3 linked regions of the Saccharomyces cerevisiae S288C genome follow. The protein of the gene in region 1 binds, or shares a complex with, the protein of each later gene. Each region holds a gene or a part of one and is shown on either strand. Other genes may lie near its edges. The genes, in order: CBK1, SSD1 and MOB2. A codon is read from its position in the direction of its gene.

Region 1 (11,513 bases):
ATACACTTTTCCAAGTACATCGACAGAGGTTTGAATATCACATGAGTAAATTGCCCACATAATTCTTGGGGACCAGTCTAAAAAGGCCTCATGTATAGCGTCCCTTGTAGAAGTTATCAACCTCCCTGATAAGTCCACAATATGTTGTTGGTAGCGCGGATCTTCAATAGATTCAATTTCGTCTTGTGACATCTTATGTACGCTTTCAACAAGAACACACATTCCCTGTACGGGCTCATTTGCCAGAGGTCCTTCGCTAACAGCCAGTTGGAAGCCATTTTTGATGGAATCTGAATACTCAAAGGCTGCTGGAGTACCTTCAAATAGGCTTCCAAGAAGATTATCCTGCGACAGCAAAATGTTGCACCCAACTCTACTTGGCCCAAAACCTGCTAACTTTACTTTAAACCCACTTAATAGTTCTCTGCTCTTCTCCTCCTGATTTATGACCTCTTCAAAAGCAACGAGTAAAGACTTTTTGTCTAGAAAAGAACTTCCAGTTGATTCTATGACGGGATCCATGCTTGAAGTGGACGTCTTCAAAATGTTTTTAATGCTATTTTGATGTTGAGATAAAAAGTCTGTAACTTTACCGCTTAATGGGAACGTTCTGAATGTAATCTTGTACTGGCTCAATAGTAGTTCATGAACACCCCTTCCCAGCTGTGAATTCTGCGGTGGATTCATATCTGAGGCTGATAAAAATGTTTCCCTATATGGAATAGCCGGTTCAGAATGTGTAATTTCTATTCCTGCAAATCTCTCTGTTAAATCTTTTAGGCATCTTTCTAAATGTAATTCACCGGCCGTACACAGAATGTGTTCACCAGTATTTTCAACGTATGTGTGCACGCAAGGATCTGCTTGATCCAACAACTTTAATCCTCGTACCAACTTGCTCATTTCCACAGGATTGGCTGGCTCCACAGCAACACGAACGATTGGCGTAAAATGGAAATTGACGCCCGCTAGATTGACGCCTTGTACGCCCTTCTCTATCAACGTACCACTCTTTAAAACTTTACCGGCCAGACCACGAATACCGACTATATTTCCTGATGGACAAACGTCCAAAGGAACCAATTCCTTACCCATAAACAAATATAAATGCGTAATAATCGCAGTTTCAATATGCTCCTCTGGACATTTTGGATCATATTTTGGACCCAATACCGAAATCTCCTGACCAACTCTTAGTGTGCCACTGTATATTCTTGCAAATGCTACCAAGCATTCTTCCTTTTCGTCAAAAATATCATCTACTTCATCGTTCACATCCTCTGAAATTTGCTTAATACTCTCCAAAAGTGGATCTTCTTCCTCATATTCAAACATTGAACTTAGAGGGTCATTTGGATCTATGTCAGTTGGTACAAAATCTAGGCCGAAGTTATCTTGACTATCTGAATCATCCTCCCCCTCATATTCAAATTCTAAATCCAAGGCGGAAGAAGGCTCTGAAACAACACAGAAAACATCATTATTTCTTGAAGGTTTTGGCTTTGTCTGTTCTCCTACTTCGGGGGTCATAACGGTATCTTTTGCTCTTTTATATAAATCTGATGTATTTTTAGAATTGTCATTCAAATCCATCATTGCCATATTTTCTACCATACCAGCATGTTTTGCAGCATTAAGTGCTTCCTCACGTGCCTTTCTACTTCTCTCCATCAGCTCATCCGAAGATGCTATCCTCTTAGATTCAACAGGTAATTCTTCTCTAGGAATTGAAAGCATCTTAGATACGTATGCACTAACTGGTCCTTCTTTATCACATGTCTTCATGGCTTTCAGAAGTCTTGGATCCATGGCTGCTGTGTCGGATTCGGAGACCAAAATAGTGTTCAAACGATCGGTTTGTGATTCCAAAGGTGAAGGTAATTTTTCAATAACTGTTAACAATACTGCTGTGCTGACGGGTAGCCATTGACCCATGATAGTTCTTAACAATTGTTTATCGTCCTTCGACCTTAGATCACGTGCAAGTAGCTTAATATTTAAAGTTTTTGCTATTTTTTCGACCATTTCAGAATCTCTCGATGTGATTATGTTTTGATAAATTTTCCATATATTTTCGAGGATTAGCGATGTGAAAAGGGGTTTCAGGGATCTTCCCTTAAGGCCTTTATTGTTAATAATTTTTTTTGTCTTGGGATCCATATAGAAATCACCCCATAAAACTTTCTGTAGGTTTTCCCTTTTAGCGCCTAATTTTTGTTCGTAAAATTTGGCCAATTGACCGATGTTGAAACCCCAACCATCAATTGCGGAAGCAAAAATAACGTTGTTATCAGTAGGGTTAAAGTAAATACCCGAATCATCCTTTTCAATATATTCCGCGTTTTCGTTCTTTTCTAATTGCTCCCTCCAAAATAAATCATCCAATTGTCTCTCGTTTGCGAAAAAGGACCCGATAACTGAGTTGACTTGTTCAATGACTTTGGACAAGTGAATATAAGCTTCTTGGGGAGTTAGTTGTAGTTCTGTGATCAATCTATCAATCTTATTCAATACTAAAATGGGCTTCAGCTTCTCCGTCCAACATTGTCTCAACACTGTGACGGTTTGCGAGCATACCCCCTCTACGACATCAACCAGTACGACAGCACCATCACATAGTCTTGAAGCTGCACTGACCTCACTTGAAAAATCAATGTGACCTGGGGAATCAATTAAGTTTACTAGATGCTCGCTTACAAGAGGCTCATCGGAACCTTCTTGTTTACGCAATACCCTAAAATATAAAGAGATAGCCGATGATTCCATTGTGATACCACGTAGTTGTTCGTCAGGCCTGGCATCTAAGAATCGAATTTTGCCGGCAAGCCTTTGTGATATAATACCATTCGAAGCCAAAAGAGAATCTGAAAGTGAAGTTTTACCGTGATCAACATGAGCAACAATACATATATTTCTTATACAGGAAGGGTCATTTTGCAGACGTTTGTAAGTCTCCGATTCCACTCTAGGCATATTTGCTTATCGTGCTTAGAAAAATAACTGAGTTTGGTTATTTTATAAACTATTTTGATAATCTTGATGATGTACAAAGATTGTATTTCGGGTGCACCTATCTATCAATATTCTTGGCTCTTAAGTTCCCATTTTTCAAAATTTCTTTTCTCGTAGGAAAAAGAAAAAGGAAGCGATGAGCTGAAAATTCCACTTTACAATATATCGAATATCCAGTATACCAAAACTACATACAAACGAACACGTCATTAAAAGATGTCTGATAAGCCCGACTCCCAAGTATTTTGTCCAAATTGCAATGAAAGACTTCAAAAGTGTTTAGTACAGCAAAATTATGCCATTATAATATGTCCCAGCTTAGTCTGCGGCTACCCATTCAATCAAAGAGAAGTACTCGAAAATCTAACGTATGTAGACGATAATGACGTCTTAAAAGTTGCAAAAAAAAGATTATCTTCACGAAGCAAACCATAAAATAGTTGCACTATTGCTGTTCATTATCTTTCATTATCCCTAGTAACGCCATTGCAGAGTCAAATATGAGCGATAACAATATAAAGAGCAATAACATGATAGTTGAAATTAACATAAAAGAAGCGACATAATTAAAGGTCTCAAAGAGTGAAGATCAAGTATCCGGTTTTTACGAATAATCTACTTTCTATGTGAAACCCAAAAAAGTTCGTACAAGGAAAACTAAAAAGTGTGTAATAACTTGTCTAGCTTTGGCATTAAAACTTGTCAATTATTCATCACCAATATAGACTAATGCGTTTTGGAACGCCAAACCGCAGTGACAAATAGCAAATATGTAGCTGTCATATCGGCATATAATAACAGTTTTCTACCAAATGCTGTCCTACATTCAGAGATCTTACATCCTTACATCTAAAGTAAAACCTAGACATTTACTTCGAGTTATACTTTTTTTTTATTTATCTATTTTTTCTCTTGCGGACATTTAACACCTGAATTCCGCCTAACGCCAGGACTGATCCTGCCAGGGAAGGGAGCTTTGTCTAGTGCCAATAGGCCGGACCAGTAGGAAGGTTACAGCAGCTGGCCCGCAGAGTGATTGGGTCACAGGAAATAGCGCAACCTTCTCTTTTGCCCGGGAAAGGCGGTTCAATCTACCTTCGAAGGGCTAGTACATGAGCGCGAAGGAGGCAGATAATAGCACCATTAAGTGGTCCAAATGCATCTTGAAATCTAATCCTTAATAGAGGAAAACAACAATTATCAGTAAAAATGGGTATGTTATAACCATAATTCCTAATGGTGAATAAAATCAGGACCAATAAAGAAAAGCTAATTTGATTTTTATTGTCAATGAAATTTCATAATCGTCATGAATGCATAAACAGACACACCTAGCAACTGTATAATCTGCGCCTAAAAAGGGCGTATACACAAAACTAAACGATGCGCAATAAAAGTTCAGCAGTCAGCAATGAAACCGAGATATGCAGCAACAGAGTATCATATGCATGGAGGATCCTTTCTGTTTTTCTGATAATATGCTCTGAAAAAGCTCCAAACAGCACAGTAGCCTATTTGTGAAGCTCAAAAAAGGCTTCTATTTCCCTCGCTATCTTCAGATTGTGCAGTGATATTCTTTGAGGAAGGAAACGTAGAGGGGATAAGTTGGATAACTGTTATTTCTTTTCAATATGCTAGATTTTGCTTACCACCTTACTGATTTTTTCTAATAATAAACTTTTTTACTAACATTAGTACGATGTCTCATCTATTTCTTCTATTTAGTTAACGTTCCAAAGACCAGAAAGACCTACTGTAAGGGTAAGACCTGTCGTAAGCACACTCAACACAAGGTTACTCAATACAAAGCTGGTAAGGCTTCCTTGTTTGCCCAAGGTAAGAGACGTTATGACCGTAAACAATCTGGTTTCGGTGGTCAAACCAAGCCTGTTTTCCACAAGAAAGCTAAGACTACCAAGAAGGTTGTTTTGAGATTGGAATGTGTCAAATGTAAGACCAGAGCCCAATTGACCTTGAAGAGATGCAAGCACTTCGAATTGGGTGGTGAAAAGAAGCAAAAGGGTCAAGCTTTGCAATTCTGAATCTCTTTATGGGTTTCGCTTTTGTATTTTCTTTGCTTTAAAATCTGATATAATTACATATTATTACAATATAAAACTTTACGATAATTCCTGCAACTAATGATGCGTTAGTACGGTTCGGGCGCTCTAGGACGCGTGTCGGTCGGGTAACCATCATTCTTATTCGACGAAAATGATTAGTTTCCAGAGAAGCAGTTGCACTCCAGTTTGATCTGCAGTCCAGCGACTATTTTTAACATTCAAAGATCATTTTTCGTTTGAATAGTTGAGCAAGGTCATATAAATTTCTATATCACACGAATAAGGGTTCAGATATTGCTTTATTATCGGCGAACACTGATATTACCACATAGATATCGCTCTTTTTTTGAAACGTAAGCGTAAATTTCAGTATAGGTACACGTCTGCGCTGATCCTTCTGTAATCCTCTGCAGTTTTCGCAATGTATAATAGCAGCACCAATCATCATGAGGGTGCACCTACTTCAGGACATGGCTATTATATGTCCCAACAACAAGACCAACAGCATCAACAACAACAACAATACGCCAACGAAATGAATCCGTATCAGCAAATTCCTAGACCGCCTGCTGCAGGATTTAGTAGCAACTACATGAAAGAGCAAGGCTCTCATCAATCGTTACAAGAGCATTTACAACGTGAGACAGGTAACCTTGGCAGCGGTTTTACAGACGTTCCAGCCCTGAATTATCCAGCCACACCACCACCACATAATAATTACGCAGCTTCAAATCAGATGATCAATACCCCACCGCCGTCGATGGGTGGTCTTTATAGACATAATAATAATTCCCAGAGCATGGTTCAGAACGGTAATGGGAGTGGGAATGCACAATTACCCCAATTATCACCGGGCCAATATTCTATAGAGTCAGAGTACAATCAAAATTTAAATGGCAGTTCTTCTAGTAGTCCGTTCCACCAACCGCAAACGCTACGGAGCAATGGGTCATATTCAAGCGGGTTAAGGAGTGTGAAAAGCTTCCAGAGGTTACAACAAGAACAGGAAAATGTCCAAGTTCAGCAACAACTTTCCCAAGCACAGCAACAAAATTCCCGGCAACAACAGCAACAACTTCAATACCAGCAGCAGCAACAACAACAACAACAACAGCAACATATGCAAATACAACAACAACAACAGCAGCAACAACAGCAGCAGCAATCACAATCTCCCGTTCAGAGCGGCTTTAATAATGGTACCATATCAAACTATATGTACTTTGAAAGACGACCAGATTTGTTGACTAAAGGAACGCAAGATAAAGCAGCAGCTGTAAAGTTGAAGATTGAGAACTTTTACCAATCCTCTGTTAAATACGCCATTGAAAGAAATGAAAGAAGAGTGGAGTTAGAAACAGAACTAACTTCTCATAATTGGTCAGAAGAAAGGAAATCTAGGCAATTGAGTTCTTTGGGTAAAAAAGAGTCACAATTTTTAAGGCTGCGTAGAACGAGATTATCGTTAGAAGATTTCCACACTGTGAAAGTCATTGGAAAAGGGGCATTTGGTGAAGTCAGACTGGTTCAGAAGAAAGACACCGGAAAAATATATGCAATGAAAACTTTATTAAAATCCGAAATGTACAAAAAGGACCAATTAGCACACGTCAAGGCTGAAAGGGATGTTCTGGCTGGAAGTGATTCTCCATGGGTGGTTTCGCTATATTACTCATTCCAAGATGCTCAATACTTATATTTAATCATGGAATTTTTGCCCGGTGGTGATTTGATGACCATGCTAATCAGGTGGCAACTATTTACAGAGGATGTTACTAGATTTTACATGGCTGAGTGTATTTTGGCCATCGAAACCATTCATAAATTAGGATTCATTCACAGAGATATTAAACCAGATAATATTTTGATCGATATTAGAGGTCATATAAAATTATCTGATTTCGGGTTGTCTACGGGGTTCCATAAAACTCACGACTCAAACTACTATAAAAAGCTTTTGCAACAAGATGAGGCAACTAATGGTATTTCCAAGCCAGGTACTTACAATGCAAATACAACCGATACTGCAAATAAAAGGCAAACAATGGTTGTGGATTCTATTAGTCTAACAATGTCAAACAGGCAACAAATTCAGACATGGAGAAAATCACGTCGTTTAATGGCATATTCTACCGTAGGTACACCAGATTATATTGCTCCTGAGATATTTTTATACCAAGGTTATGGGCAAGAGTGTGATTGGTGGTCACTTGGAGCAATTATGTACGAGTGTCTGATTGGTTGGCCTCCATTCTGTTCCGAAACTCCACAGGAAACGTACAGAAAAATCATGAATTTTGAGCAAACTCTACAATTTCCTGATGATATTCATATCTCTTATGAAGCCGAAGATCTAATCCGTCGACTATTAACTCATGCAGACCAAAGACTTGGTAGACATGGTGGTGCAGATGAAATAAAAAGTCATCCATTTTTTCGCGGTGTTGATTGGAATACAATCAGACAAGTAGAAGCACCGTATATACCAAAGTTGAGCTCCATCACCGATACTAGGTTCTTCCCAACCGATGAGTTGGAGAATGTTCCAGATTCCCCAGCTATGGCACAAGCTGCCAAACAAAGGGAACAGATGACAAAGCAAGGTGGAAGTGCGCCAGTCAAGGAAGATTTACCTTTTATTGGCTACACTTACTCCAGATTTGACTATTTGACAAGAAAAAATGCGTTGTAGGGACGCGTTAAGGACATTCCTCTTTATTCAAGTATTTATCTATGGATGTAGAACGCACATTATGAATAAATAACTGCACTTTTTTCGGGAAAAAAATTACCAAAATAGACATCAGCTTTATCATATGTCTCCTTGAAGTATTTGAACGACCACCTTTCCGAAGACAATGTACCTAGTAACCTACAGGCTGCCCTTAATCCATACATCCACGCACAATAGCACAATCTCGGTGATGGCTGGTTTTTTTACCTTGAAAAACAAGAAAAATGGCTGATGTAGTTGAAAAAGGTAAAAGAGATGGCAGATCAGGGGACGATTTTGTAGAGGAAGTATCTATATATATCGACCATATTGAAAAAAATATGAAATAACATACACACGTGTAAGAATATATAATTTTTGTTATTAACACGTCGTAAAAGAGAAAAGATCGTGCTTTCATCACGCGCTTCCTCTCGGCCTTTCGAACTATAAATTATAAGATGATCCAGTCTTACAATACTGAATGAAACTCAGGGAAGACGATAGCGGAGGTTCGACAACCGATCACTGTAAAACCTACACTTTCAAGTTCATTAATCGTCGCTTGAAAGATCGTCATAACCAAATATTGCTAGAAACAAAAGCGTTCGGGATAGGTCAAACCATGATGAACTAGTTCCACACGCATATCTTAAAGCGTGCTATTTTTTAAAAAGGGCAAATTTAGGAATGTCTGACGGAATCCCTAATCATCTTTGGCTTTTCCCTTCACTCCCTTCTTTTACCGACGATGGTTTGAAGGAAAGAGAAAAATGAGCAATAGGAAAATTCAGTAGTCGATTTCCATTTCAATTCCCTATTGGGTAATGTGGCGGCGAGGGCTAAACATTCGGTATCATTGATTCAATGTTCTCACAATGTTCAAATTCTCGGATCGGGTATCCCTAATTGGGATCTCTTTCCAGAGGAAGGGGCCTTGATGTGGGATTGAAGACACATGAGTTTTTTTCTCACCGTCGAAACTTTTGCTTACCCGTAAAACATCGGCCATTCGTTGGTTTATTATGTGACTTTTTTGTGACTTTTTTTTTTGCGAAGTTTTCTCGTCATCCGCGGAAGATCCGGCGGGCGAAAAAGTCTCTCACTTTTACCCAATCGGGGCATGTTATGTGGACATGTTATGTGTCCAAGAGACACATGAGCCCAAAAAGGGTACACTGTCTAAATAGTTTACCCTTTACGAATCGAAACTTCTCGAAGAAGGGGCCGAAAATTAGCGCAGAAGTTGACGAAAGTTTATACTTTTCCTAATGGAGAGGCTCAGGAGCTGAAAAGGGATATATTCGTACTCTATTGCATCTTCAAACTCCGAAGAATCTCAGTAGGGAGTGAAGCCGGCTTCTCGATGCTACAGTTCAACATCGATACTTTGAAGAAAGAAAGCGCCTATTATATCTCTTTTACCCTATTAGTAATAATTAGGAAAAAGGGAGAAAAAAGTACCTCACTAAAAAAACCATCATCTCTGAAATATAAAAAGCTTGATAGAGGGTGACATTTGCTAGAACTTCTGCTGTGTTCTCTTGGGTTATTGCTCTTATTGAATATCCCTTCTATTTCTTTCTTGCTTGTAAAAAATCAGCTCAAAAAACATCTACAGGATTAATCGTCAGTTAAGTAATACAGTAATAGAAAATGAAGTTCCAAGTTGTTTTATCTGCCCTTTTGGCATGTTCATCTGCCGTCGTCGCAAGCCCAATCGAAAACCTATTCAAATACAGGGCTGTTAAGGCATCTCACAGTAAGAATATCAACTCCACTTTGCCGGCCTGGAATGGGTCTAACTCTAGCAATGTTACCTACGCTAATGGAACAAACAGTACTACCAATACTACTACTGCCGAAAGCAGTCAATTACAAATCATTGTAACAGGTGGTCAAGTACCAATCACCAACAGTTCTTTGACCCACACAAACTACACCAGATTATTCAACAGTTCTTCTGCTTTGAACATTACCGAATTGTACAATGTTGCCCGTGTTGTTAACGAAACGATCCAAGATAAGTCATCCGCCGGTGCCGTTGTTGTTGCCAACGCCAAATCTTTGGAAGCTGTCTCATTCTTCTTCTCTATCATTTTTGACACCGAAAAGCCTATTGTTGTCACTGAAGATTCCGCTTATGCCATTCCAGTCGCTAACAATAAGAACGCTACCAAACGTGGTGTCTTGTCCGTCACTTCTGACAAATTAGTGTACTCCGGTGTCTTCACTCCACCTACTGCTTGTTCTTACGGTGCTGGTTTGCCTGTTGCTATCGTTGATGACCAAGACGAAGTTAAATGGTTCTTCGATGCTTCTAAGCCAACTTTAATCTCTTCTGACTCGATTATCAGAAAGGAATACAGTAACTTCACTACTCCTTATGGTCTATTAGAAAACGGTGTTCCAATTGTTCCAATTGTCTATGACGGTGGTTACTCTTCCAGTTTGATTGACTCCTTGAGTTCTGCCGTTCAAGGTTTGGTTGTTGTTTCTTCTGGTTCTACCAACTCAACCTCATCTACTATTGAAAGCACTGAAATCCCAGTCGTATATGCTCAAGCTAACACTCCATTAAACTTTATTGACAACAAAGATGTTCCAAAGAACGCTGTGGGTGCTGGTTACCTATCCCCAATTAAGGCCCAAATCTTGTTGTCCATTGCTGCCGTTAATGGTGTCACCTCCAAGTCCGCTCTGGAAAGCATTTTCCCATGAACTGATAGATATTAAATCTAGCGAAGCATAGAGATTCTTTTTTTACCAGTCATCATAACCATTATTTTACAAAATTTCCACGCAACAGCTTTTATTTTCGTTCGTAATAGGAACCATACTTCCCATTAAAGCAGTATGATTGTTTTATACACCTTTTTATTGTTATTTAAGACATACCCCAAATAATTAATTAATTAATTGATGAAAGAATCATATAAATTCTTGGCCATACATATTTTTTTATTATCTTTTGCTACATTGACCATAGGTGAATATCTTCCCGGGGTGACACTCCACTGAAGTGGGAAAAAAAGAAAAGTTTTAAAACATTGCTCACCTTAAGTCTCGAAGGTCTAGCATTCACTACCTGTAAGTGTCAAGACCCCACATGTATACATGGATACAATAAAGAAACAATGTCCGTATAATTTGTATACATTTTACTACAGATAAGGGATCTCACCCCCTTCTTTTGTGTCTAAGTGAAATCTTCTGATATATTTAGTGTTTTATAGCGTCCATGTTTTAAACTAGAACGGCAAAATAGTAGTTGTTGTAAACGCTTATTTTCGAGACATCAGGTAAAAAGGATAGTTAAATCTTACAATCAATGCATGTAGTGAGTGGCGTTTATCAATAGTTTTTAACAATTCCCATTTTGAAAGAAGCCCACAACAACCCTAGTAGTTCGTTAATATACGTTATGATGGTCAAGTGTCACAGTACGGAAAGCTTGCAAACAGCTCTTACATAGAGGAGTTGCTTCAAAATAAACGTCCTCTGGTGTCAAGTGTCTCATACAGCGACCACATGCGAAAGAAACTACTACAGATAAGCAAATACACAAATTATAATCGTGGATTCATCATCAGAATACGCCTGGCCCTGTAATCCTTTGGCTCACCAACATTCGATGGACACCTTTATATCTTCTAATAACAGTGAATAATAGACACAATACGAAGAAAAACCCAGCGGTAACCATGTAAACGGTACCACTTACG
Region 2 (12,905 bases), on another chromosome or scaffold:
CATTGCTTACACGAATGTCTCCTAGTTTATATTTCCTGAGAAAGTTCTCTACAGCCCAAATAAATAGTTATATAGATATATAAGAAAAGCGACAACAAAAGAAAAAAAAAAAATACAGTCCTACTAAAATAACATAATTGCGGCACAGAAGAGTAACCACAACTAGTAGAACATCGAGAAAGGAGAGGTAACAAAAAATTTTTTTTTTTAAAAAGACAGAATTGAGAACGATTGAAGGCGTTTAAGTAGTAGTAAAAGTATTTGGCTTCATTAGTGTGTGAAAAATAAAGAAAATAGATACAATACTATCGACATGAGTAGGAAAAATTCTAAGAAACTAAAAGTCTATTACTTACCTGTAACGCTAACCCAATTTCAAAAGGATTTATCAGAAATTTTGATATCCCTGCACGCCAAGTCATTCAAAGCAAGCATAATAGGAGAACCACAGGCAGATGCAGTGAACAAGCCTTCCGGCTTACCTGCTGGCCCTGAAACACATCCGTATCCAACGCTATCACAAAGGCAATTAACCTATATCTTTGATTCAAACATAAGAGCAATAGCCAATCATCCTTCCCTTCTAGTGGACCATTATATGCCTCGACAGCTTTTGAGAATGGAGCCCACGGAAAGCTCTATTGCTGGGAGCCACAAGTTTCAAGTTCTCAACCAGCTCATTAATTCGATATGCTTTAGAGACAGAGAGGGCTCACCAAACGAAGTTATAAAATGTGCCATCATCGCACACAGCATAAAGGAATTAGATTTGCTAGAAGGTTTAATATTAGGCAAGAAATTCAGAACCAAGAGACTTTCCGGTACATCTCTTTATAATGAGAAACACAAATTCCCTAATCTACCTACGGTCGATTCCACAATAAATAAAGATGGAACACCAAATTCTGTAAGCAGCACAAGCTCTAATTCCAATTCGACCTCTTATACAGGTTATTCTAAGGACGACTATGATTACTCAGTGAAAAGAAACCTGAAAAAAAGAAAAATAAATACGGATGACTGGCTGTTTTTAGCCACTACCAAACATCTCAAACACGATCAATACCTATTGGCTAACTATGATATAGATATGATAATTAGTTTTGATCCAATGTTGGAAGTTGAATTGCCCGCTTTGCAGGTACTGAGGAATAATGCCAATAAGGATATTCCGATAATAAAGCTATTAGTACAAAATTCTCCAGATCATTACTTGTTAGATTCTGAAATCAAGAATTCAAGTGTTAAATCGTCGCATTTGAGCAATAACGGTCATGTCGATGATAGCCAAGAATATGAAGAGATCAAATCCTCCTTACTATATTTTTTGCAAGCAAGGAATGCTCCGGTGAACAACTGTGAGATTGATTATATTAAATTGGTAAAGTGTTGTTTAGAGGGGAAAGATTGCAATAACATTTTACCGGTTTTGGATTTGATAACGTTAGATGAGGCCTCCAAAGATTCGAGCGATTCTGGGTTTTGGCAGCCTCAATTAACAAAATTGCAATATTCGTCTACAGAATTGCCCCTTTGGGACGGACCATTGGATATCAAAACCTACCAAACAGAGTTAATGCATAGAGCCGTCATAAGATTGCGAGATATACAGGACGAGTATGCCAAAGGCACTGTTCCACTGTACGAGAAACGATTAAACGAAACTCAACGGCAGAACCAGTTGGACGAAATAAAGAATTCTGTTGGTCTTACATTCAAGAAAAAACAAGAAGTGGAAAAATCCATTAATGACTCTGAAAAAAGGTTGAAGCATGCGATGACAGAATCTACCAAGCTACAAAATAAAATAAATCACTTACTGAAAAATAGGCAGGAACTAGAGAATTTCAACAAATTGCCCTCGAATACTATTTCATCAGAAAATCATCTGGAAGAGGGATCTGCCTTAGCAGACAAGTTGAAGGAATACATAGACAAAAATGCGACTCTTTTTAATAAGTTAAAGGAACTCCAACAAGCAAATGCGGAAAAATCAAAGCTCAATGATGAACTACGTTCCAAATATCAAATAGAATCTTCAAAAGCCGCAGAGTCCGCGCAAACATTGAAAATTTTGCAAGAATCAATGAAGTCTTTAGAAAACGAAGTTAATGGTCCACTGACTAAATTTTCCACAGAAAGCTTGAAGAAGGAGCTGGAACGTTTACAGAATGATTTTCAGTCGCTTAAAGCAAGAAACAAATTCTTAAAGAATTACATAACCTTAATGAACCGACAGTACGACTTAAAAAACAAAAACAACGTCCAGGTGGAAAAAGCTGCCGCAAATGGTACACGGTTTAGATCAACAAGATCCAATACCCCTAATTACACATGAATGTGACGTTTCCTAAAAGAAGTAGCCTGTATAATATAGAGAGATTTTATATACTTTCTTAATGAATTAGACTGTTTCTACAAGTATTTGACACTGGAAAAAAAGAGAAAGTACATAGAGATTGGCCAAATATTTAAATCTACACAGTTGCCTATCGTTTATCGCCTTATTCTTCAGAAACATTTCATCAACTACTCTGGTGCATTATTTCATGTTAGTTACCATATATACCGGCCGGCCGCATCGGGGTTTTTTGATTGAAAAAATTGGTATATTTTCAGTACACATATAAATAAAACCCTCAATTTGCCTCTCCAACCGTTATAACTATTCCAGATCCTCTTTACCGAGCAAGTAGGCTAGCTTCTGTAAAGGGATTTTTCCATCTAATACAATGAGTGGAGTATCAAATAAAACAGTATCAATTAATGGTTGGTATGGCATGCCAATTCATTTACTAAGGGAAGAAGGCGACTTTGCCCAGTTTATGATTCTAACCATCAACGAATTAAAAATAGCCATACATGGTTACCTCAGAAATACCCCATGGTACAACATGTTGAAGGATTATTTGTTTGTGATCTTTTGTTACAAGCTAATAAGTAATTTTTTTTATCTGTTGAAAGTTTATGGGCCGGTGAGGTTAGCAGTGAGAACATACGAGCATAGTTCCAGAAGATTGTTTCGTTGGTTATTGGACTCACCATTTTTGAGGGGTACCGTAGAAAAGGAAGTCACAAAGGTCAAACAATCGATCGAAGACGAACTAATTAGATCGGACTCTCAGTTAATGAATTTCCCACAGTTGCCATCCAATGGGATACCTCAGGATGATGTTATTGAAGAGCTAAATAAATTGAACGACTTGATACCACATACCCAATGGAAGGAAGGAAAGGTCTCTGGTGCCGTTTACCACGGTGGTGATGATTTGATCCACTTACAAACAATCGCATACGAAAAATATTGCGTTGCCAATCAATTACATCCCGATGTCTTTCCTGCCGTACGTAAAATGGAATCCGAAGTGGTTTCTATGGTTTTAAGAATGTTTAATGCCCCTTCTGATACAGGTTGTGGTACCACAACTTCAGGTGGTACAGAATCCTTGCTTTTAGCATGTCTGAGCGCTAAAATGTATGCCCTTCATCATCGTGGAATCACCGAACCAGAAATAATTGCTCCCGTAACTGCACATGCTGGGTTTGACAAAGCTGCTTATTACTTTGGCATGAAGCTACGCCACGTGGAGCTAGATCCAACGACATATCAAGTGGACCTGGGAAAAGTGAAAAAATTCATCAATAAGAACACAATTTTACTGGTCGGTTCCGCTCCAAACTTTCCTCATGGTATTGCCGATGATATTGAAGGATTGGGTAAAATAGCACAAAAATATAAACTTCCTTTACACGTCGACAGTTGTCTAGGTTCCTTTATTGTTTCATTTATGGAAAAGGCTGGTTACAAAAATCTGCCATTACTTGACTTTAGAGTCCCGGGAGTCACCTCAATATCATGTGACACTCATAAATATGGATTTGCACCAAAAGGCTCGTCAGTTATAATGTATAGAAACAGCGACTTACGAATGCATCAGTATTACGTAAATCCTGCTTGGACTGGCGGGTTATATGGCTCTCCTACATTAGCAGGGTCCAGGCCTGGTGCTATTGTCGTAGGTTGTTGGGCCACTATGGTCAACATGGGTGAAAATGGGTACATTGAGTCGTGCCAAGAAATAGTCGGTGCAGCAATGAAGTTTAAAAAATACATCCAGGAAAACATTCCAGACCTGAATATAATGGGCAACCCTAGATATTCAGTCATTTCATTTTCTTCAAAGACCTTGAACATACACGAACTATCTGACAGGTTGTCCAAGAAAGGCTGGCATTTCAATGCCCTACAAAAGCCGGTTGCACTACACATGGCCTTCACGAGATTGAGCGCTCATGTTGTGGATGAGATCTGCGACATTTTACGTACTACCGTGCAAGAGTTGAAGAGCGAATCAAATTCTAAACCATCCCCAGACGGAACTAGCGCTCTATATGGTGTCGCCGGGAGCGTTAAAACTGCTGGCGTTGCAGACAAATTGATTGTGGGATTCCTAGACGCATTATACAAGTTGGGTCCAGGAGAGGATACCGCCACCAAGTAGCTATATAGAATCAAATCTCATACATAATTTAAAGAACGAGAGTGCAATGTGATGATTGTGATTCCTGATCCTATGTCACGGACGACGACTTGTATCACCTTGAATTTTCTGACCAAAGGGGCCGAGTCGCTTCACGAGGGGATGAGAAAGGAAAAGAAGGGAAAACTAAACTTATATAACGCAGGTGTGTCTTTCTACCATTGCCATCAAGTTATTAAAGGCCACGAACAGGAACGCTAGAGACCTGAGTTTGTCATTTGTTTAGTTCAAGGATTAAATAAACAATCCTTCTACAAATAAGTCCTTTCTTTCACCATCGTCTTAAGACCACTGCCTCCAACGAAAACTAACCTAAAAGAGTTTAGATCACGAGTATTTTCGCTCTTTCCCTCCTTCCCCTGGTTTTTTCTCGTTAGTTCTTTTCATTTAAAAACTCTTCTCTTGTCAAGAATTTAAAAGACGAAGAGTCCAACACCGACTGATTTTCTAACAGCAAAGGAACGAAGTTTTGCCGTGCAAACAATAATTTCTAAATTATAATTTTGAGCCTAGCTGAGAAATAGGAGAGATTATATTTTAGAAAGGTAAGAAGTTTTTCTGTCATTCCTTTTAGAATATTTGCTACGTTCTAACATTTTTTGTTACTCAAGCGCATTTTCTGCAACTTCCCTTATAAGCTATTTCCTTTTTTTGGGACCGATCCTTTCTTCTGTCTTTGGTAACCTAAAAACCGGAATAGTCAAAGTTATCTGCATAGTCTTCTTGCCAGGCTTATTTTCGCCATACCATTTTTCTGGTACCCTAAACATTTTGGTCTTATTTTAGAACAGCTGGTGCCTCGTTTTTCCGCATTAGGCGCACTTTTTTCATAGCCACTATTCTAAAAGAAACAACTTTTTTTCAAAGGGAAATCTAAGTTGCCTGCACGAAGAATAAGACAAGGGTTCATAAACGTATAGTATTTGCCAAGTTCCATCTTTTTCTTTGTCACTTTAATATCGCAAAACAGAACACCAAAAACCTTTCAGCGCAAAGATTTGGCCCAATTATTCCATCTTTATACACTATGTCTAAAAATAGCAACGTTAACAACAATAGATCCCAAGAGCCAAATAACATGTTTGTGCAAACCACAGGAGGTGGTAAAAACGCCCCAAAGCAGATTCATGTTGCACACAGACGTTCCCAAAGTGAGTTGACAAATTTGATGATTGAACAATTCACTTTGCAGAAGCAGTTGGAGCAAGTTCAAGCACAGCAGCAACAGTTGATGGCTCAGCAACAGCAATTGGCACAACAGACAGGACAATACCTGTCAGGAAATTCTGGCTCTAACAATCATTTCACGCCTCAACCGCCTCACCCTCATTACAACTCAAACGGTAATTCACCTGGTATGAGTGCAGGTGGCAGCAGAAGTAGAACTCACTCCAGGAACAACTCCGGATATTATCATAATTCATATGATAACAATAACAATAGCAATAATCCTGGGTCTAACTCACACAGAAAGACGAGTTCACAATCCAGCATATATGGCCATTCCAGAAGACATTCTTTAGGTCTAAATGAAGCGAAAAAGGCTGCTGCGGAAGAACAAGCTAAAAGAATATCTGGGGGTGAAGCAGGCGTAACTGTGAAGATAGATTCTGTTCAAGCTGATAGTGGCTCAAATTCTACTACAGAACAATCTGATTTTAAATTTCCACCACCACCAAATGCTCATCAGGGCCATCGTCGCGCAACTTCAAACCTATCACCTCCCTCTTTCAAATTTCCTCCAAACTCTCACGGGGATAATGACGATGAATTCATAGCAACCTCTTCAACGCACCGCCGTTCAAAGACAAGAAACAATGAATATTCTCCAGGCATTAATTCCAACTGGAGAAACCAATCACAGCAACCTCAACAGCAGCTTTCTCCATTCCGCCACAGAGGATCTAATTCAAGGGATTACAATTCCTTCAATACCTTAGAACCTCCTGCGATATTTCAGCAGGGACACAAACATCGTGCCTCTAATTCATCAGTTCATAGTTTCAGTTCACAAGGTAATAATAACGGAGGTGGACGTAAGTCCCTATTTGCACCCTACCTTCCCCAAGCCAACATTCCAGAGCTAATCCAAGAAGGGAGACTAGTAGCTGGTATATTAAGAGTTAATAAAAAGAATAGATCGGATGCCTGGGTCTCTACAGATGGCGCTCTTGATGCGGATATTTACATTTGCGGCTCCAAAGATCGTAATAGAGCACTTGAAGGTGATTTAGTCGCGGTAGAACTATTAGTTGTGGACGATGTTTGGGAGTCCAAGAAAGAAAAGGAAGAAAAGAAGAGGAGAAAGGATGCCTCTATGCAACACGATCTAATTCCTTTGAACAGTAGTGACGATTACCACAACGATGCATCTGTTACTGCTGCAACAAGCAACAATTTTCTATCTTCTCCCTCCTCGTCTGATTCGCTAAGCAAGGATGATTTATCCGTCAGAAGAAAGAGGTCATCTACTATCAATAATGATAGTGATTCCTTATCATCTCCTACCAAATCAGGAGTAAGGAGAAGAAGTTCATTGAAACAACGTCCAACTCAAAAGAAAAATGACGATGTTGAAGTTGAAGGTCAGTCATTGTTATTAGTTGAAGAAGAAGAAATCAACGATAAATATAAGCCACTTTACGCAGGCCATGTCGTTGCTGTTTTGGACCGTATCCCTGGTCAGTTATTTAGCGGTACATTAGGTTTGTTGAGACCATCCCAACAAGCTAATAGCGACAATAACAAACCACCACAAAGCCCAAAAATTGCTTGGTTCAAGCCTACTGATAAGAAGGTGCCATTAATTGCAATTCCTACAGAATTAGCTCCAAAGGACTTTGTTGAAAACGCTGATAAATACTCCGAAAAGTTATTCGTTGCCTCTATTAAACGTTGGCCAATCACATCTTTGCATCCATTTGGTATTTTAGTTTCCGAACTTGGAGATATTCACGATCCTGATACTGAAATTGATTCCATTTTAAGGGATAACAATTTTCTTTCGAATGAATATTTGGATCAAAAAAATCCGCAAAAAGAAAAACCAAGTTTTCAGCCGCTACCATTAACGGCTGAAAGTCTAGAATATAGGAGGAATTTTACGGACACTAATGAGTACAATATCTTTGCAATTTCCGAGCTTGGATGGGTGTCTGAATTTGCCTTACATGTCAGGAATAACGGAAATGGTACCCTAGAGCTGGGTTGTCATGTTGTTGATGTGACCAGCCATATTGAAGAAGGCTCCTCTGTTGATAGGCGTGCGAGAAAGAGGTCCTCTGCGGTGTTCATGCCACAAAAACTTGTCAATTTATTACCACAATCGTTCAACGACGAACTGTCGTTGGCCCCTGGCAAGGAATCAGCCACGCTGTCGGTTGTTTACACTCTAGACTCATCTACTTTAAGGATTAAATCTACTTGGGTAGGCGAATCTACAATTTCCCCCTCAAACATCTTGTCTTTAGAACAATTAGACGAAAAATTATCTACTGGAAGTCCCACTAGCTACCTCTCTACTGTACAGGAAATTGCTAGATCATTTTATGCTAGAAGAATAAATGATCCAGAAGCTACATTACTTCCCACCCTGTCCTTATTGGAAAGCTTGGATGACGAAAAAGTTAAGGTTGACTTGAACATCCTGGATAGAACTTTAGGCTTTGTTGTAATTAATGAGATTAAAAGAAAGGTCAACTCCACTGTTGCAGAGAAAATTTACACCAAACTTGGTGATCTAGCTCTTTTGAGAAGGCAGATGCAACCCATTGCAACCAAGATGGCGTCATTTAGAAAGAAAATTCAAAATTTTGGTTACAATTTTGATACCAATACGGCGGATGAATTAATCAAAGGGGTGCTAAAAATTAAAGATGACGATGTTAGAGTCGGAATTGAAATTTTACTGTTTAAAACCATGCCAAGAGCTAGATACTTTATTGCTGGCAAAGTAGACCCGGACCAATATGGGCATTATGCCTTGAACCTACCTATCTACACACATTTCACAGCGCCAATGAGAAGATACGCTGATCATGTCGTTCATAGGCAATTAAAGGCCGTTATCCACGATACTCCATACACCGAAGATATGGAAGCTTTGAAGATTACCTCCGAATATTGTAATTTTAAAAAGGACTGTGCTTATCAAGCACAGGAACAAGCAATTCATCTATTGTTGTGTAAAACAATCAACGACATGGGAAATACTACAGGACAATTATTAACAATGGCTACTGTCTTACAAGTTTACGAGTCCTCCTTTGATGTATTTATTCCAGAATTTGGTATTGAAAAGAGAGTTCATGGAGATCAACTACCTTTGATCAAAGCTGAGTTTGATGGTACCAATCGTGTCTTGGAATTGCATTGGCAGCCCGGCGTAGATAGTGCAACTTTTATACCAGCAGATGAAAAAAATCCAAAATCCTATAGAAATTCCATTAAGAACAAATTCAGATCCACAGCCGCTGAGATTGCGAATATTGAACTAGATAAAGAAGCGGAATCTGAACCATTGATCAGCGATCCATTGAGTAAGGAACTCAGCGATTTGCATCTAACAGTACCAAATTTAAGGCTACCATCTGCAAGCGACAACAAGCAAAATGCTTTAGAAAAATTCATTTCTACTACTGAAACCAGAATTGAAAATGATAACTATATACAAGAAATACATGAATTGCAAAAGATTCCTATTCTATTGAGAGCTGAGGTGGGGATGGCTTTGCCATGTTTAACCGTCCGTGCATTAAATCCATTCATGAAGAGGGTATAATCTCTTCTACCAATATCGTCATTGCTGTTTTTCTTGTTTTTCACTTTCGTTCTTTGGATTGTGCTTCACCCCTCAGTATCCCTTCCCTTTGTTTTTATTTCCTGCGAACATTAACAACTGCATGAATTTTGTACTTCTCCTTTTAATCCACGTTCCGGTAAGGCATCATCCAAATTTTTTTATTCGACCTCGTTAAGTCATATATTTTTTCCCAAAAATACATAAAACAATAATGCAGCCTTCTTTTCAATATTTACAACTTTTCAATTTATATTGTCTTTTGTTATTTATACTCTTATATATTAAATTTATTCCGTTACTAAATACCCTTTTGCTGTACAAATATCATCAAAGAGAAGTACTGAAAGCTTACTTTTTATGCGCTGGGTAATTTTTCCGGAAACAATAACGAAATCATCGTCGAGCAATTTTGCTCGTACTTCAGAAACTACTGCGTAAACATTTGAGGTCGTACAATAAGTAGATAGAAATAAATAAACCAATTTTTCGTCAGCGTTTAATCTGTAGCCAAAGATTTGTGGTATTCTCACAGTTTGAATAATATTCAGCTACTTCATCAAGTAGTTTTTTTCAATAGGAGATTCACGGTTCAATAAGTGCATTGATTATGTTCGACCAATTAGCAGTCTTTACCCCTCAAGGTCAAGTACTTTACCAATATAACTGTTTAGGAAAAAAGTTTTCTGAAATACAAATTAACAGCTTTATATCCCAGCTGATTACTTCCCCAGTAACTAGAAAAGAAAGTGTTGCAAACGCAAATACAGACGGATTTGATTTCAATCTTTTAACAATCAACAGCGAACACAAAAATTCTCCTTCATTTAATGCACTATTTTATTTGAATAAGCAACCAGAATTGTATTTCGTAGTGACTTTTGCCGAGCAGACTTTAGAGCTTAATCAAGAAACTCAACAAACACTTGCACTGGTGTTAAAACTCTGGAACTCATTGCATTTAAGTGAATCCATTCTAAAAAATCGTCAGGGCCAAAACGAAAAGAACAAGCATAACTACGTCGATATTCTTCAGGGAATTGAAGACGACCTGAAGAAATTTGAGCAATATTTTAGGATAAAATATGAAGAGTCAATAAAACAAGACCATATCAATCCAGATAATTTTACCAAAAATGGATCAGTACCCCAATCGCATAATAAAAATACCAAGAAAAAATTGAGGGATACAAAAGGTAAGAAGCAATCTACAGGAAATGTTGGTAGTGGGAGAAAGTGGGGCCGTGATGGTGGCATGCTTGATGAAATGAATCATGAAGATGCAGCCAAATTAGATTTCTCATCATCCAACAGCCACAATAGTAGCCAAGTAGCTCTAGACTCCACTATTAATAAAGATTCTTTTGGGGATAGAACAGAAGGAGGCGATTTCTTAATCAAAGAAATTGATGATCTTTTGTCTTCTCATAAAGACGAGATAACTAGTGGGAACGAAGCTAAAAATTCTGGATACGTCAGTACAGCTTTTGGATTCCTTCAAAAACACGTTCTAGGTAACAAAACGATCAATGAAAGTGATTTGAAATCTGTATTAGAGAAGTTAACACAACAATTGATAACCAAAAATGTAGCACCAGAGGCAGCAGACTATTTAACACAGCAAGTCTCACATGATCTTGTAGGCTCAAAAACTGCAAATTGGACCAGTGTTGAGAATACTGCTCGTGAATCTTTAACAAAAGCATTAACTCAAATATTAACGCCTGGTGTATCCGTTGATCTCCTCCGTGAAATTCAGAGCAAAAGAAGCAAAAAGGATGAAGAAGGTAAATGTGATCCCTATGTGTTCTCTATAGTTGGTGTTAATGGTGTTGGTAAGTCAACAAATCTTTCAAAGCTAGCGTTTTGGTTACTGCAAAATAATTTCAAGGTCTTAATTGTTGCTTGTGATACGTTTAGGTCTGGTGCAGTTGAGCAACTAAGGGTCCATGTTGAAAATTTGGCACAGCTAATGGATGATTCACACGTTCGTGGCTCCAAGAACAAAAGGGGTAAAACTGGTAATGACTACGTTGAACTATTTGAAGCTGGTTATGGTGGATCTGACTTGGTAACCAAAATTGCAAAGCAAGCCATCAAATATTCTCGTGATCAAAACTTCGATATAGTGTTAATGGATACTGCCGGGAGAAGGCATAATGATCCTACTTTAATGTCGCCATTGAAGTCTTTCGCTGACCAAGCCAAGCCAGATAAAATCATTATGGTTGGAGAGGCTTTAGTAGGTACTGATTCTGTCCAGCAAGCCAAAAATTTTAATGATGCCTTCGGAAAGGGAAGAAATCTTGACTTCTTTATTATCTCCAAGTGTGACACAGTTGGTGAAATGCTGGGTACTATGGTAAATATGGTTTATGCTACGGGGATTCCTATCTTATTCGTTGGCGTGGGACAAACCTATACCGATTTGAGGACATTAAGCGTAAAATGGGCTGTTAATACATTAATGTCTTAAAAACTGTAATATCATAGTATATATATATATACCACAGACAATGTTATTCAACAATAATAAAGTGTCTTTTTTTCTGTGCATCAACAAGGTGACAGAATGTTGATGTAACTTCTTTCCACCAAGTGAATCTACAAGTAGTAGAATAGAGTATTTATATTCGGTTTACAAACTACAAATAGCGTGCTCATATCTCTTTTTTAATGATTTCATTTGTATGAGTATCGTCTTTCGTAGCTCTTCTAACGTCAATAATCTTAAAATCATCTGAAAAGTTGACATGCTCTGACACAGGAATAACAGTCTCTACTTTTATCTCTGGCATATTTGGCTCTGGACCATCTTTGATAAGATCTATAAAACTATCTTCCGAGTGACCTAGAATACAATGCAAAACGACTTGGGCGCCAGGTTTCGACAGGACCAGGCTGTTTTCCTTACAAAAAGAAGCCGCTACACAGTCAGGACATCCATCGCTGCATGGGCATTCTTCTATTCTTCTTAAACTAGACTCTATAATATCATCAATATGCTCAAACGCTTTAACACACAAGCCAGACCCGTACTTACCGCCCTTGGAATCATAGAATATTAATCTAGCTGGTCGCTTTCGTTTAGTTTGACGTTCTGCAAATTCCTTTTCCGGAGCTTTGCATTCAGTTTGTATTTCATCCACACCCGCCACTATAAATCGCGGTAACATACCCATAATTGCATGTTGCGCCCCGTGAATAGCTCCTGCTACATTTAATTGCTTCTTTTGGCAAATTTCTAAGGCATATTTTGGCATATCTATCCATAATCCTTTAGAATTGATTATTACAGGAGGGTTATGGGTTTCGATGGCATCGATGATCCTCTTGTACTTGTCTACTTTAAAAAAGCCAAATACAATAATTGTAGTCTTGATCTTACCAAAGTAAACAGGAACATCACTATTCCTTAAAGAGCGTATAAGTTCAATTTCCTGTGGATCTACATCTGTAAAGTCTCTTTGGTTGGTTACCCAGTCAACATCTACTCTTTGCACTTTAGCATATCTTTCATCAGGATTAAACTCCTTCACAAGGTAGGGATAGCCTTGGTGAATGAA
Region 3 (5,484 bases), on another chromosome or scaffold:
TTCTATCGTAGAAATACCCATAACAGCACTAAATCCACCAGCAGCAGCTCTAAATAAATATGCTAAAAACCAATCTTTATCCGAATAACCATTTACAAACCTCCCACTAACTACAGATCTTGCCATGACTAGTTGCTCCTTTTTCATGACAGCTGGTGTACCGAATAGATAAACGTTTTCAATCAAACCTAGAGCCTTTTTCTTGCACAATTCGATTAAACAAGAAAAAATGACCCTCGCACCTATTGAGAAGCCAACCAGTGTAATGGGGCGGGCACCTAAATTTCTTGCAATTAGGGTGTCAGCAAGAATTTTGCCTGCAGACCAAGCTCTGTCCAAAGAAACATTCCACGGATTATCTAAAATATAACCCAATTTCGATAAAGCCATCGGCCATTGGATAGAACTGATCAAGGCTGTTAAAACAGTGGCACCCAAAATTTGTTGAAGCGAGGTGGTAAAAATTTCGGTAGCTACAATACTGACCGTTTGACCAATAGACTTTAGCATTTCGGGCTCCCAATATAACGAGTACAGGTCACCTTCAACAGGGTCCACCGTAGAAAATGGCAATCTAACATCATCTTCGTTACCAACCATCCAGCCTGACACTGTTAGGATTAGATTAACCCTTCTATTATTATGCAGTGGCCTGAACTCAAAAGTTCTCACACTTCCCATCCTTTTTGACATACCTCTAGCACCGATGTTGGCACCAATAGCAGTACTTGAAACGGCAACAACAGTGGTACCACCCACTCCGGTCAAGAAACTTGTAGCACCAGTAATACCTATTGTTGACAAACCAGCAGCAATCCCCCCGCCAATGACGGGGGCTAGTAAACCACCACTTAGTCCAAGGACCAAAGAACCACCTACCATGGCAAGTGCGACATATGCCATTTTCTTTCTTCTTTTGCTTCTCCGTCTATTTCTCATGTGATCTTGTTCATCCCATACTTGATCTTCTGTAGATTGTTCCATGTCTAAGGAATCTGTTACTCGTCTTTCAAATTCACAAATTTCCAAGCTAGTCATATTCAAGACTTTGGCAAAATTTATCAACAAAGTCCTTGACCTCGAATCATAGGTGGAGGATTGCAAGCATATTAGGAAAAGATCACATATAATGGTCCACGCCACATCTATATTTAATTTGTCTTGGCTTTTGACATTTTCCGGATCGAGTACTTTTCCTGGAACGTCCGAAGATAACGGTGATTGTTTAGCCTTTGGTGTTTCAGGTGTTGCGGATTGTTCTGGGTCGGGAGTACTAGCCTGTACTGAGCCATTTTGTTCATTTGGACTCATTCGTTCCGTAGTTTCCTCTATACCGTCTTCTTCGTGGTCTCTATCATTCTCCCATGGATTATCAATGCTCTGAGTGGTTTTCAAACATTTACACAAATCTTCCAATTGGATTTTGTGCAGAGAAAGCTTCTCAATCATAACAATTTCTTCTTGAGATATCCCCAAATGATCATATAGCCGTGATAAAACCACAGTTTTCCAAGCAGCCATATCCTTCTGGGTAAACTGTAATCTATGTGCTAGTTTCTTGTGGGATTTAATGTCAATACAAAGACACAGCGTAGCCAAATTCGTGCACATTTGATTTGCCAAAATGTTTATTGCACCTACGTAGGCAAACTTCTCCATATCAGATAGCAGATTTTTCGTTATGTTTAACTGCGAGTCCCGATTCAAGTCGTTCACTGGTTCCACGTCGTCCTCATATTCGTCATAAGAATCATCATCATCGTCATCATTATTTTTTTCATTGTTCAAGGATGTAGTCGAAGGGGAAGAAGTCAAATTTACGGAAGTTTGCGAACTGTTAATTTTCTTTTTCAGTACTTTGTGGTCAAAAAGGAAATCTGTTTTTTTATTTGTTCGATAGGATCGTTGGGCTTGCTGCTCAGCGGCCATTTTCGTATAGTCAAATCTAGAATCATTGACACTTTTGCAATTTTTTCCTGGAGGAACTGTGGGAGACGTCTCAGAGGCTTGTTCTGAGTTTCTAACCTTGGAAGTCAACTCTAGTTCGCCTCTGTGGTTATATATATTGAACGATGAGACAGCGGGCATCTCTTGCCAGCCTCCATCATCTGAATCAGAGTCGGAGTCTGAATTGCTCCTGGACTTTGTACCTGGAACAGGATCCGTATCGTGCACAGATTTAAAAGGGTCCAGCAAAATAGGTTTATCGGCCCGATCAATACCGCTATCTGCTTCATTAGGACTGCACACTGACTGTGATGAGGGAAAACCTGTGCCCTCTTTTCCTGCTTCTCCCTCATGTAAAGCATCTTCGGTTCGTGTTCCGTCTTCTTCTCTTCGTTTAAAAACTTCTTCTTTAGCCTGTGTATGCATAACAGTTAAATCATCTTGATTACTCAAGCCGCAATCATGTTCGGGGCTTGAGTTGGATTCTTCATCAGTATGCTCCCCTGACTCCTTCAAATGCCTCGCTATCTTCAAGCCTTTCAACTGTACACCTAAATCTTCCTCCGAATCGGACATCTTTTAGTACTGTAATGTTTAATCTTCTCTTTTAACTCTGCCTCTATTACGTTCGAGAAACCCTTCCACTATGCTTTCCAATCACTAATAGAATCACTAAAACTAACTGTACCAGCCAGTAAGGAAAATACGAAGCTATTCAAACTCGGAAACAAACTAGCGTATGGTATAATTCTCTATTAGTAGTACACACCCTTTCCTACTACCACGATAGGATCGTTTATTTGCACCGCATTTCCTTTCATATTCTTAAAGCATTAAGGTCGGCAAAATATCGAGACTGCTTTCTCCATGTCAACACCCGTACATATTCAGAGATAACACCCATAAATTATACAAAAAAGTTTCCAAACTTTTTTTTTTAGACAACGCGAGCCGAATGGATGAATTTTTCAAGCAAAAAAGAGCTAATTACCTAAATGATTCATATATGGATTATTAAAGTACACGATTAATTGATAATTATTGATTTTTTTTGAACATCTGGGATCATAAAAACACCGTAGCACAGTAAACCTATATCGTTTCACAAATATCAACCACAATGGCTCCAAACGTACGTTAATTTTCGTTCCTATGTCACAATTAGAGAACATGAAAGAAAATAAAATCTTTAAAAAGTTTGTCTATTCCTACAGTTCATTGAACAGTCCCGCTTTCACAGCGAACTAGTGGATTCCATCTCGAAGTTACATTTTTATGTATTCAGCTATTCTGTATTTTAAAAATTCACCCCTTATAGCTTTAACAGAGGCAATGCGCTTTCTCTAGCTATATGAAGTGATTGTTAATAGCAGTAGGCCAGACATTTTTTCCTCGTCCAAACGACAAGGATGATTTCATCTCAGTTGGGATTACTAACATAAAACTGTAACAGACTTCCAGAAAGCAAAAAGTTATCAAAACCTTAACCGTTGACGTTTCCTCTCCAACTGAAAACGGAGTCTTCGATCCGGCTTCATATTCCAAGTACTTAATCGATCATATTAAAGTAGATGGTGCCGTAGGAAACTTAGGGAACGCCATTGAGGTTACTGAAGATGGTTCTATAGTCACTGTAGTATCCAGTGCCAAATTTTCTGGTAAATACTTGAAATATCTAACAAAGAAGTATTTGAAGAAGAATCAGCTAAGAGACTGGATCAGATTCGTCTCTATAAGGCAAAACCAATACAAATTGGTTTTCTATCAAGTCACCCCTGAAGATGCTGACGAAGAAGAGGATGACGAATAAATAGACACTCACATGTATATTAATTTATAAAATGCTATTCATATCATAATTCACCACCCTTAATATATCCTTTTGTCCCTCTTTTGATTTACATATTTTATTTTTGCAATATGTCACTTCACGAAAATTAGTGAAAAATAGAAAAGAAAAAGAAATGCTTTAGCTTTTGAAACACGAAGATCATCAAAAAACTTTAAGAAAAGCAACTACCCCAATTCCGCAAGCCAACCAAGCATTTATCAGCACATCATGTCCTTCTTCAACTTCAAGTATGTTCACACTGTTGTCGTTTTATTTTCTTCTGGACCTGCGTTATCATTTTACTAACTAGCCAACACACCTAATCAAATCATTTGATCCTACGTGTATACTTTGCAAAACAGAGCATTCGGAAGAAACTCAAAGAAAAATAAAAACCAGCCCCTTAATGTTGCTCAGCCGCCAGCAATGAACACCATTTATTCAAGCCCCCACAGCAGCAATTCCAGATTATCGTTAAGAAATAAACATCATTCGCCTAAGAGGCATTCTCAAACAAGTTTCCCCGCACAAAAGTCTACGCCGCAATCACAGCAATTGACATCTACCACACCACAGTCTCAACAGCAAGAAGCTAGTGAGAGATCAGAATCACAACAGATAATGTTTCTCAGCGAACCGTTCGTAAGAACTGCTTTAGTGAAAGGTTCATTTAAAACAATAGTACAATTGCCCAAATATGTGGACCTGGGAGAGTGGATAGCGTTGAACGTTTTCGAATTCTTCACAAACTTGAACCAATTTTACGGAGTAGTAGCGGAGTACGTAACGCCTGACGCGTATCCAACAATGAACGCTGGCCCTCACACGGATTATTTATGGCTGGACGCAAACAATAGACAGGTTTCACTGCCAGCTAGTCAGTACATAGATTTGGCCCTCACGTGGATAAATAACAAAGTGAACGATAAAAACTTGTTTCCGACCAAAAATGGGCTACCATTCCCGCAGCAATTTTCGAGAGATGTGCAGAGAATCATGGTACAGATGTTCAGGATATTCGCACATATTTATCACCACCACTTTGACAAAATTGTGCACTTGTCATTAGAAGCTCATTGGAATTCATTTTTCTCTCATTTCATTAGTTTTGCAAAGGAGTTTAAGATCATTGACAGAAAGGAAATGGCTCCGCTGCTACCGTTAATTGAAAGCTTTGAAAAACAGGGCAAAATTATTTATAATTAGAGGTGAACACAATTATTATTATTAGTTACCATGGGTCACTCCTATTTTAGACACTTAATATAAACAATTAAAAAGAATGAAAAATAATGCAAACGATAAACGCTAAGTATGTATATATATATATATGTACAAGTTAAATAAAAATAACACAAATAAATTTTAGTTTGTAGTTCACGGCTCACGAGAAAAAATATTGACTGTTTCTCAATACTGTAACATCAAAATCACCTTTAGGTGGGATTTCAGGTAATCTCAACGGTAAAAGAACACTCATACCGCTATTTTCATCTCCACCGTTTTCTAGTTCAAGTGCGTCCAAGTCAGTGATGTCTTCAAATAATGATACAGTTGTAACCATCTTTTCACCAACATTTCTATCTTCTATTAGAGGGCTGTTTAATAATTCTTGCCTTTTTTTCTCAAAATAAATTTCATCTGCTAATGTAGTACTTCTTCCTAATTTTCTGGATAAATCTTTACGGATTCTAATAATCTTTTGA

What was found.
Region 2: the proteins of CBK1 (region 1) and SSD1 are in contact, whole or in part, in a crystal structure (PDB 5NCL), measured with the Saccharomyces cerevisiae proteins. Residues at the interface, in NP_014238.3 of Saccharomyces cerevisiae: Asp450 (codon at 6,844), Val451 (codon at 6,847), Arg453 (codon at 6,853), Phe454 (codon at 6,856), Phe672 (codon at 7,510), Arg673 (codon at 7,513), Gly674 (codon at 7,516), Val675 (codon at 7,519), Ile680 (codon at 7,534), Glu684 (codon at 7,546), Ala685 (codon at 7,549), Pro686 (codon at 7,552); in NP_010579.1 of Saccharomyces cerevisiae: Phe211 (codon at 6,199), Lys212 (codon at 6,202), Phe213 (codon at 6,205), Pro214 (codon at 6,208).
Region 3: the proteins of CBK1 (region 1) and MOB2 are in contact, whole or in part, in a crystal structure (PDB 5NCL), measured with the Saccharomyces cerevisiae proteins. Residues at the interface, in NP_014238.3 of Saccharomyces cerevisiae: Met266 (codon at 6,292), Arg270 (codon at 6,304), Arg271 (codon at 6,307), Leu274 (codon at 6,316), Leu275 (codon at 6,319), Thr276 (codon at 6,322), Gly278 (codon at 6,328), Thr279 (codon at 6,331), Lys282 (codon at 6,340), Ala283 (codon at 6,343), Ala285 (codon at 6,349), Val286 (codon at 6,352), Lys287 (codon at 6,355), Lys289 (codon at 6,361), Ile290 (codon at 6,364), Glu291 (codon at 6,367), Phe293 (codon at 6,373), Tyr294 (codon at 6,376), Ser297 (codon at 6,385), Val298 (codon at 6,388), Ala301 (codon at 6,397), Arg304 (codon at 6,406), Arg308 (codon at 6,418), Glu312 (codon at 6,430), Leu329 (codon at 6,481), Gly333 (codon at 6,493), Glu336 (codon at 6,502), Ser337 (codon at 6,505), Gln338 (codon at 6,508), Leu340 (codon at 6,514); in NP_116618.1 of Saccharomyces cerevisiae: Glu98 (codon at 4,412), Pro99 (codon at 4,415), Leu105 (codon at 4,433), Thr112 (codon at 4,454), Ile113 (codon at 4,457), Pro117 (codon at 4,469), Lys118 (codon at 4,472), Tyr119 (codon at 4,475), Val120 (codon at 4,478), Asp121 (codon at 4,481), Glu124 (codon at 4,490), Trp125 (codon at 4,493), Ala127 (codon at 4,499), Leu128 (codon at 4,502), Phe131 (codon at 4,511), Glu132 (codon at 4,514), Asn136 (codon at 4,526), Gln139 (codon at 4,535), Phe140 (codon at 4,538), Val143 (codon at 4,547), Glu146 (codon at 4,556), Tyr147 (codon at 4,559), Asn194 (codon at 4,700), Lys196 (codon at 4,706), Phe199 (codon at 4,715), Pro200 (codon at 4,718), Thr201 (codon at 4,721), Lys202 (codon at 4,724), Asn203 (codon at 4,727), Gly204 (codon at 4,730).

What each region holds. Positions count from the first base shown.
Region 1 is NC_001146.8:327,101-338,613, forward strand, and holds CBK1 (serine/threonine protein kinase CBK1), read left to right. Parts: upstream 1-5,496; coding exon 5,497-7,767; downstream 7,768-11,513. Other genes in the region: GTPase RIA1, read right to left, coding at 1-2,973; YNL162W-A (uncharacterized protein), read left to right, coding at 3,229-3,447; 60S ribosomal protein eL42 RPL42A, read left to right, coding at 4,222-4,225, 4,738-5,054; YGP1 (Ygp1p), read left to right, coding at 9,445-10,509; ASI2 (Asi2p), read right to left, coding at 11,378-11,513. UniProt on the Saccharomyces cerevisiae protein: Protein kinase that seems to play a role in the regulation of cell morphogenesis and proliferation.
Region 2 is NC_001136.10:1,042,056-1,054,960, reverse strand, and holds SSD1 (mRNA-binding translational repressor SSD1), read left to right. Parts: upstream 1-5,568; coding exon 5,569-9,321; downstream 9,322-12,905. Other genes in the region: HDA2 (Hda2p), read left to right, coding at 314-2,338; sphinganine-1-phosphate aldolase DPL1, read left to right, coding at 2,733-4,502; SRP101 (signal recognition particle receptor subunit alpha), read left to right, coding at 9,950-11,815; HRQ1 (ATP-dependent 3'-5' DNA helicase), read right to left, coding at 12,000-12,905. UniProt on the Saccharomyces cerevisiae protein: Can suppress the lethality due to deletion of SIT4, and partially the defects due to BCY1 disruption. Is implicated in the control of the cell cycle G1 phase.
Region 3 is NC_001138.5:62,516-67,999, reverse strand, and holds MOB2 (Mob2p), read left to right. Parts: upstream 1-4,006; coding exon 4,007-4,026; intron 4,027-4,140; coding exon 4,141-4,984; downstream 4,985-5,484. Other genes in the region: MIL1 (Mil1p), read right to left, coding at 1-2,523; 60S ribosomal protein eL22 RPL22B, read left to right, coding at 3,068-3,079, 3,401-3,757; RPO41 (DNA-directed RNA polymerase), read right to left, coding at 5,163-5,484. UniProt on the Saccharomyces cerevisiae protein: Functions as an activator subunit for the CBK1 protein kinase. Part of the regulation of ACE2 activity and cellular morphogenesis (RAM) signaling network. Required for coordinating polarized cell growth during interphase with the onset of mitosis.